Linked DNA regions of Neurospora crassa OR74A. The protein of the gene in region 1 interacts with the protein of each later gene in a pairwise test. Links are inferred from orthologs where the notes say so. Each region holds a gene or a part of one and is shown in the gene's direction. Other genes may lie near its edges.

Region 1 (4,167 bases):
ACGATGATGCGCCACTAACTTTTGTTGTTGATGATTTGGTTGGCGGCGGCGGCTGTGATGAGGTCGGTTGCGAATGTGTTGGAGGCTGGTTTGAGAGAAAGTAGGATCGGCATTGGGATGGCTGTTGCTTGCCCACCACACCACCAGCAGCTATTCGTATCCTCGTGGGCGCCGACATGGTGCAGTGGGTGTTTTTAAACACTTTGGTGGTCGGGTACCTGGGCCGACACGAGTGGACTCGCAACGTGGGCTGTCGGAACACGCCGCGCTGAGATGGACAGTGTAAGTATGTATACTATGGGGTGTGTATAGGGCTGGGATCGATGCAAGATAAGGCCGGGTTGAATGCAATTTGCAAGAGTGTGAAAACGCCAAGTGGTTGACTTGTCTCTCTGACGAAGAGTGCCGCACAGCGGGTGGAATGATGTCAGTGACGGATTGGCTCGGATGGTTGACCACAGAGCTGATAAGAGGGTCGGTAATCGGGTGGATCGGCTTCCACTTGCTCACCGGATCTCCCCACGGACAGGGATTCCAATAGTGATGTTTTGTGGGGTTGGATCTTGATCATCAACACTCTATCCATGGACATTGTGTAGGTCAGGAGGCTTTGAGAGCAACCTAGTTGCATACAATGAAACGACATATGCTTCATCGTAATTTTGGTTGTGGTCAAATATCCAGAACCTTGAGGTCTCATTTCGTTCGTACACTTGTTTCACATGAGCCTTATCTTATCGGCATACATATGTAAATGTGCTGGATGATGGAACCTAACTGAAGCTAGAAGCTTCCTAAGATCAGGAGTCCGTTGGACCCGTGAATCAATGTTGCTCCCAAATCCAAAAAAAAGGGAATCATTCATTCATTCATTGATCCATTCATTCATTCATTCATTGATACATTCATTCATTCAATGGAAGCCCATGTGGACACCGCTCAGGTGGCCCAGCCTCCAAGTCCACGATAATAAAGGTAGCCATGGGAACAACGGCCAAAGCACTTTCGAGGTATACCAAAACAAAAAAGTTCCGTAGCCGTACTTTGTTGTCGTCTCTTGGACAGAGAATAACCTGGAATCTCAACCACATTTCATCATCATTGTTTTTTTTTGTCTTTTTTTCTTTTGGGACTTGTTTAGCTGTGAAATGCACATCATCGGGACGACTCCAAGATTGTTAGTGCAATACCGTACATACCGCAACTGAAGTGGGAAAGGGTCAGGAGGCGGCTGCTGCGTCACGTGCATCGTCACCGCTTGAGTCCCCTGTTTTGGATGGATCAGTGTCCCGCCTCTTGGCCGGCGGTCGCCAATCACCCCCCCGCCCGGAGAGTGTGCGGGTGGTGTGGGTGGGCTGCCACTGCCACTCGCTGCCAGCAGTCAGCCAGGACAGCCGAGGGCGCTCTCCCATTCCATCAACTGCCCGTGTTAAGTTGCTCTGCGTGTTGCCCGTTCCAGGTTCTATGCTGCGTGCTGTTGCTGCCTTTCCATCCGCCCACCTACACTAGACTTCTACAATCCTCCACATCATCAATCAACCAACAGACCGACCTCCCACCCCCAACGACCTACACCTAATCTCATTCAGCGAAACCATCCATCTTTCGCTCCACCACCGTCCACCTTACGATACCCGCCTTATTTCTTCGCTGTCCAACTCAACCCAACACCACCACATCGCATAGCGCGTCCCTCGTTGCCCATCATGAACCCTGAGTAGTAGGTTTAATCACGTCTCCTGTTGCCCTTCTCCTGCTCTTCCCAAATCACCGTAAGCCGCCGCCACGCTGCCGCCACCTACAATCATCGCCGCCGCCCGTATCCCATGTTGTTTCCATGACGGATTGCTAACATGTTTAACCTTCAGGGTGCCCACCGCTTCCCCTCTTCACCCGACGTCGTCCCCTTCCCTTTCGCGACTCGACCGATCACCGCCGCCACCACCCCCAAAGAACCCTGCTGACGATGCAACCAGATACGACTACCTCTTCAAGCTCCTCCTCATCGGTGACTCCGGTGTCGGAAAGTCTTGCTTGCTCCTTCGTTTTGCCGACGATACCTACACCGAGTCCTATATCTCCACCATCGGTGTCGACTTTGTACGTCCTGCTATCCTGCCTGCGCAACACATGCGTTCGACCCCCATCAACATGCTGACCGTTTGGCTAGAAAATTCGCACTATCGAGCTTGATGGCAAGACCGTGAAGCTCCAGATCGTAAGCAACCCCCCGGCACTCCTGGACACTTTGGAAATCCAAATTCGCTGACCCAGTCGCTTATTCAGTGGGATACCGCTGGCCAAGAACGTTTCCGTACCATCACCTCTTCCTACTACCGTGGCGCCCACGGCATCTGCGTTGTCTACGATGTCACGGATATGGACTCTTTCAACAACGTGAAGCAATGGCTTCAGGAGATTGACCGTTACGCCACCGAGGGCGTCAACAAGCTCCTCGTCGGCAACAAGAGCGATATGACCGACAAGAAGGTTGTTGAGTACACAGTCGCCAAGGTACACAGCCACCCCTAACCCTCGTGTCTAAGCCACATACTTACACATCAACCAACAGGAGTTCGCCGACAGCCTGGGCATTCCCTTCCTCGAGACCTCCGCCAAGAACGCTAGCAACGTCGAGCAGGCTTTCCTTACCATGGCCCGCCAGATCAAGGAGCGCATGGGCAGCTCCATCGCCACCAACAACACGAAAGCCAGCGTCAACGTCTCCCCCGGCCACGGCGTCTCCAACAACTCTTCCGGCGGCTGCTGCTAAAGCGTCTGTGCCTTGCGGCATTGGTTGCGCTCTTGGCGTTACGGTTTCGCATCGGACGGTGTTTGACGACATGATGATGCGATTGAATGTTACGGCGTGGGCACTGGGTTGAGCTGTGATGCAAATGCTGCTCTAATGGGATCTCAGTTGGGAATGTTTCGGCTCTGCTTCTGTGGTTTTGCGAGGAACATGGGAGGAGACTTGGGGCGGCTTTACATGCTACCTTGGGAATTCATCACACGGTTCCGCGGGCTCTTCTTCGCTTGCCGGGACAGGTTAGGGTGGGGCCTAAGAGGATGGTGATCGAACGCACCGGAAAAGGGAGCTTAATAGTTGGCTCATCACCAGTGTCCGTCACGATTCCTGGCAAAGGGCAAGGGGGGAAAGAGTGGCTGGCTGAGACATGGGATGGGCGGCGGGCTTCTTAGAGAGCTTCCACGACCCTTGATGATGTTGGGGGTGTGTGTGTTGCGTGTGTGTATTTTCGGTCTTGGGCATAACTGAGGACGCGGCACGGTTTTTTTTTTTTTTTTAAACACATTTGTTACTTTTGGTTTTTTTTTTAAGGAGCTAGACTACAGTTTTTGCTATTTTTGTGTTTTGAGGCAAACCCACTGATCTTTCCATGCTACAGCTCTCTCACACATAGAGGAAACCTTTCGCTTCAGAGAGATGACCGGCACATTTACACCAAGAAGAACCACACGTACAGGCACACCCATGCATAAAAAACAAATGCTCACCAGACTTCAAGCCCTTAGCCAGCTCTAGACGTCCTCGATAGTTACTCGCGCTTGATGAAGTCTCTCAAAGTGACGGACTTGGTTATGCTAGTAGAGTTTGATAGTCTAACTGGATCTGTAAACATTGAGATTTTGGACATCCTGCCGGCTGATCCAAAGGCCACGATCAGACTGCTGTGGATAACCCACTCTCCAGGGTCTTGACAGCAGTATATTTATGAGAAGTCCAATCGACGGTCGGTAAATGCCCCTTGTCCCATATCACGGATAGTATAGCCAGCCATATCAGAGTTGAGGATTTGTTGTGTTGAAGCACCCCAATTCAATCAGTAATCGCAGGTATCAACCGCTTCAAGGATTGAAGAGACACTCGGTTTTAAAAGCTTGCTTTACAACTATACCCGTAGCCAGGATCCGACTTTCCATCTCTTGTCAGGCCCTCTTCTTCCCATCCATGGTGACTTTGCCTGCACGCTATACGTATCTCTACCTACGTTTTCCCATATCCACTGACCCCGGGACTCTTCGCCCTGCGTTGATGATAGACTAACAGCAGCATAATAGTGAGTGAGTAAGTGAGTAAGTGAGTAAATGAGTACCCAAGTGAGTCAAATGAACTTGTTGCGTTTCAACACTTCTCTTCTCTTTGCT
Region 2 (3,969 bases), on another chromosome or scaffold:
CCGCGGCAGGGATCAGCAGCCCAGGGCAGCATTGGAACGTCAGGCGGACGTGGGGCGAGCTTTAATGAGACAGGCTATTAGACTCTCCACTCTGTAAGGCACTAACTGAATGCCACCGCACTCGGCCGCGGATGCAGTTAGAGAAACCTGTGGCTCTACATTTTCGGAATATGTAAGGTATTCGTAGACCTCTTGGGTAGAGGTAGGTGAGGTGAAGCCGAAGGGAAGCTTCTTTTAGGTTTACGAACTCACTACACAAGGGGAAAGTACTGATAATTTGCATTCAATTCTTTAGTCAAGTATAGGTATCTGGAGAGAGAGGCCTTCACGGCGACGCTTCTACGGGGCATTCAGGCCTCAGCAAACCACATAACTCGCCAGGAAAGGGGGGAAAATCCCATTTGAATGAGAATTAGAAGTGCTGCAAGTTGTTTGGTTTTGTGAAGCCCTAGTTCAAAGGCAGTCACAATGGCTCTAGAAATGATACCCCGGATTTCATCCGTTTTTAGAGTATCTACTTAGAGGTAATTCTTAGCTACCTACTTTGGTTGCGCCTCGATCGATGCTAATGGCGTTCCACCCTTGCTGGCGCTGCAGTGACAGGCCTTGAGTTTCTGGTACCGCTCAGCTCCAAGCGCCCGGCCTGACGTTCATTCATGTACTAGAGGTAGTACCCCAAATCCATGGGCCGCAGTGGGTCAGAAACGCAGTAACCCAGAGGCCAGGGGCATTCAACGAAGCGTCTTCCCATTCTGACAGACGTGACCCCATCATGTAAAAATGACATACCTCTAGTCACATCTCACACCTTTGGCTCGGATAACCAGAAATTCATCTCCCATTCTTGGGCTTTTGGGTCTGAGTGTGGGGGCAACCATACTATTCCAAAGAGTGGCAAAAAAATACAATGTGAAAGAACATTGAGTTGCAGTGCCGAGGTGTTATCGACTTCAAGGTTGATCGGGAAGTTGATTCTTTAAAAAGACTGGGCTGATGTCCAATCAAATGTACTACTAGCGAGTCTAGCTTAACTGAATGCTTAACAACAGTGTCTTGGTCAGTCAGCTTTGGATTTTTGCACTGTGAGCTTTTCTTACTCAACTGCAGGGGCCGAGCCACACACTGCAGCGTCACGGGCCCTCCTGAAACTATGTAAGTAAAGTAACCACGTTTTCCCTTTATCGAACTCCCGTCGCTGATGACAACAACGGAGGAGCTTGTTCAACCTCGACGACCACGACACCAACCATTTGACTCGACGACGGCGACGACCACGACCACGACGACGAACTTATAACACCGCCACTCATTCATACGTCATCGCGAGTCCATCGTGTAGCGCCTTTCATAAATACGACCTTCAATCAACACACCCACGACCAGCCGCCGACCTCCTCGCCAGTCGCGAATTAGCCTCGCTCCCGCCGCATCCCCCGGATCCGCCCATTTCCACTTTGCCAATCCATAATCTCCTCCGCAAACTCGCAGCCTACGAGTCGCATTCGCCCCCGGTCACGATTGACAAAGTTGACGACGTCTCGATTCCTGACTTACGAACTCCGACGTGTTATTGATTACGACTTAACCGCGTGCCGGTTGCTCAGGGGTACACGCGCCCCTCTACGACCCATTCCCCGCGATTAGCTGTTGGAAACGGACGGACTACCGCCTCAGCATATACCGATACACCTCTAATTATGGCTGTCTTTGCCATCAACGACCGAACGGAAGAGTTCCGACAGATTGTTGCGGCTGCCCAGCGTAGGCAGGCCACAAAGCCAGGAAAGCAGCGACTTCTGGACACCGCTCAACAACATGCTGCCAGCAGCGATGCCCAGCCCAGAAGGTCTGAGTTTGCGAGGGGGGCTGCAGAGATTGGAAGGGGTATCTCTGCGACAATGGCCAAGCTGGAAAAGCTAGCACAGCTGGCCAAGAAGAAGACTCTTTTCGATGACAGGCCGGTCGAAATCAACGAGGTAAGCTGGGTCATGCGCTTGATCTTTGCGCGCCTCGACTCCATAACTGGCTGGCTAACCATTATGTTAGTTGACCTTTGTCATCAAGCAAGACCTGTCTTCGTTGAACGAGAAGATCAGGAACCTGCAAGATCTCTCTAGACGTCTGCACCCGAAGCCCGACCAAGAAGGGGAGAACAACAAAAACATTCTCCTGCTCCTACAGGGCAAGCTGGGAGATGTTGGTGCTAATTTCAAGGACGTGCTCGAAATCAGAACCAAGAACATTCAGGCGTCGCGGTCGAGGACCGAGAACTTTGTCTCGTCAGTAGGTCAGCACGCACATGCTTCCTTGCAACAATCTGCGTCACCTCTGTACGGCACGCCTAGTAGGGGAACGCCAGCACCAGGGCAGCAAGATCTGATCTCGCTGAACCCGATGGGAGATCAGCAGATGCAGCTCCAGATGTTGGAGGAAGGCCAAAACACCTACGTCCAACAACGAGGGCAAGCGATCGAGGCCATCGAGTCGACTATCAATGAGCTGGGTTCCATTTTTGGGCAGCTCGCGGCCATGGTCAGCGAACAATCTGAGATGATACAAAGAATTGATGCCAACACGTAGGTTTGTCTCGAGACGCTCGACACACCAGCACTGTACTAACACACCATGCAGAGAGGACGTGGTAGAGAACGTCGAAGGCGCGCAAAAAGAACTGCTCAAATATTGGAGCCGTGTTTCAAGTAATAGATGGCTCTTAGCCAAGATGTTTGGTGTTTTGGTAAGCCCAGTATTCCTGCTCTGTTACCTATGCCCTGCATAAAACTCTAACGCTGTGCGACTTTGTAGATGATTTTCTTCCTTCTCTGGGTATTAATTGCCGGGTAGACGGCAGTTGTGGCGGCGTTTCAGTAATATTATACTTCTTCTTTATAATGCATGCAGAGGCGTCTCTTGTAGACTTTATGCATTAATTATACAATTTCTCTTCCTCATGAAGATGCGGTTCTTTTTTTGCATGCGCTCTTCCATGTCCTTTCACTGTTCCACAACATAACCTCTTGCAAGGCTGATAGAGCTCAGGTATACCTCTGGATGGTCGGTGGGGGCATTTGATTATTTATACCTACTTGCCGAGGAAGTTGGCTTCAGCATAGGGATCAAGACTCAAAGTTCGCTCTCGGTTCATCTAAGGTCAACAAATACTTAACCGACGGAATTCGCTTACGCTAAATGCCACCAATAGAGGAACAGGTTTAGACTAAGCACTCCACGCCCCCAGTTCCTGCAACTGTAATCATTTCAGTTCCACTCAGCTTCGGTACCTGGAACTAATGCTCTCCGCTCGAGCCCCAGAAAGAAACCCAGAGCAAGCGAACACGACGGATCCACTCGGCCACTCACTGTTACCACTATCTATAGTAGAGCGGACCGACACCACAGCAAGGTCTCATTCCGACAGAGGGGCAATCGTTCCGCCGAGGCCCTTGTTAGATTCAGCCAAGTTTCGCGGGGTAAGGTGAGAGGATGCCATCCGTTCCATTGACCGGATGTTTGTTGCTGGGGCTATCTTTGGCGAGGTTGTCGATATCCCACCTTCGAAGTACTGTCTGATATCTTAACGAAACGCCGAATGCCATCGAGTACTGACTAAACACGAAAAGACAGAAGCCCCGAGTGCCGTATTTCTGGACGCCTCAAACCCAAGTTCACGATGTTCGAGTTACACAATGGCGTGTCGATGTTCCGTTGTTACTTCCATCCACGCTGTCCATGAATAATTACAGTCGGAATTTCAGGTCTCATGATTACCTAGTCAGGTACAGACAACATGAAGAAAAAGAATCATTACAAACATGTAGCTTTCTCGGAATCGATAACACCATAACTATCCCCCACGCTCTAACGCCGATTGCCATTTAGCCGAATGTCCAGTGTGGCTCAAACCCTGGACAACCTTCTCCTCGAACGTAACTTGATATAACTGGTCAATCCTCCTCTGTCTTTCCTTTC

What was found.
Region 2: the proteins of ypt-1 (region 1) and NCU01907 interact in binary tests that used the Saccharomyces cerevisiae proteins (3 or more experiments, as listed by UniProt). The link is inferred for Neurospora crassa OR74A from reciprocal best matches to the Saccharomyces cerevisiae genes YPT1 and SED5.

Annotation. Positions count from the first base shown.
Region 1 is NC_026502.1:3,521,406-3,525,572, reverse strand, and holds ypt-1 (small GTP-binding protein), read left to right. Parts: upstream 1-1,433; 5' UTR 1,434-1,706; coding exon 1,707-1,717; intron 1,718-1,976; coding exon 1,977-2,100; intron 2,101-2,170; coding exon 2,171-2,218; intron 2,219-2,286; coding exon 2,287-2,514; intron 2,515-2,572; coding exon 2,573-2,773; 3' UTR 2,774-3,654; downstream 3,655-4,167. Other genes in the region: NCU08476 (hypothetical protein), read right to left, coding at 1-178. UniProt on the Saccharomyces cerevisiae protein: The small GTPases Rab are key regulators of intracellular membrane trafficking, from the formation of transport vesicles to their fusion with membranes.
Region 2 is NC_026501.1:2,073,953-2,077,921, forward strand, and holds NCU01907 (syntaxin 5), read left to right. Parts: upstream 1-1,166; 5' UTR 1,167-1,697; coding exon 1,698-1,976; intron 1,977-2,046; coding exon 2,047-2,576; intron 2,577-2,631; coding exon 2,632-2,737; intron 2,738-2,805; coding exon 2,806-2,844; 3' UTR 2,845-3,475; intron 3,476-3,620; 3' UTR 3,621-3,883; downstream 3,884-3,969. UniProt on the Saccharomyces cerevisiae protein: Required for vesicular transport between the endoplasmic reticulum and the Golgi complex. Acts as a target organelle soluble NSF attachment protein receptor (t-SNARE).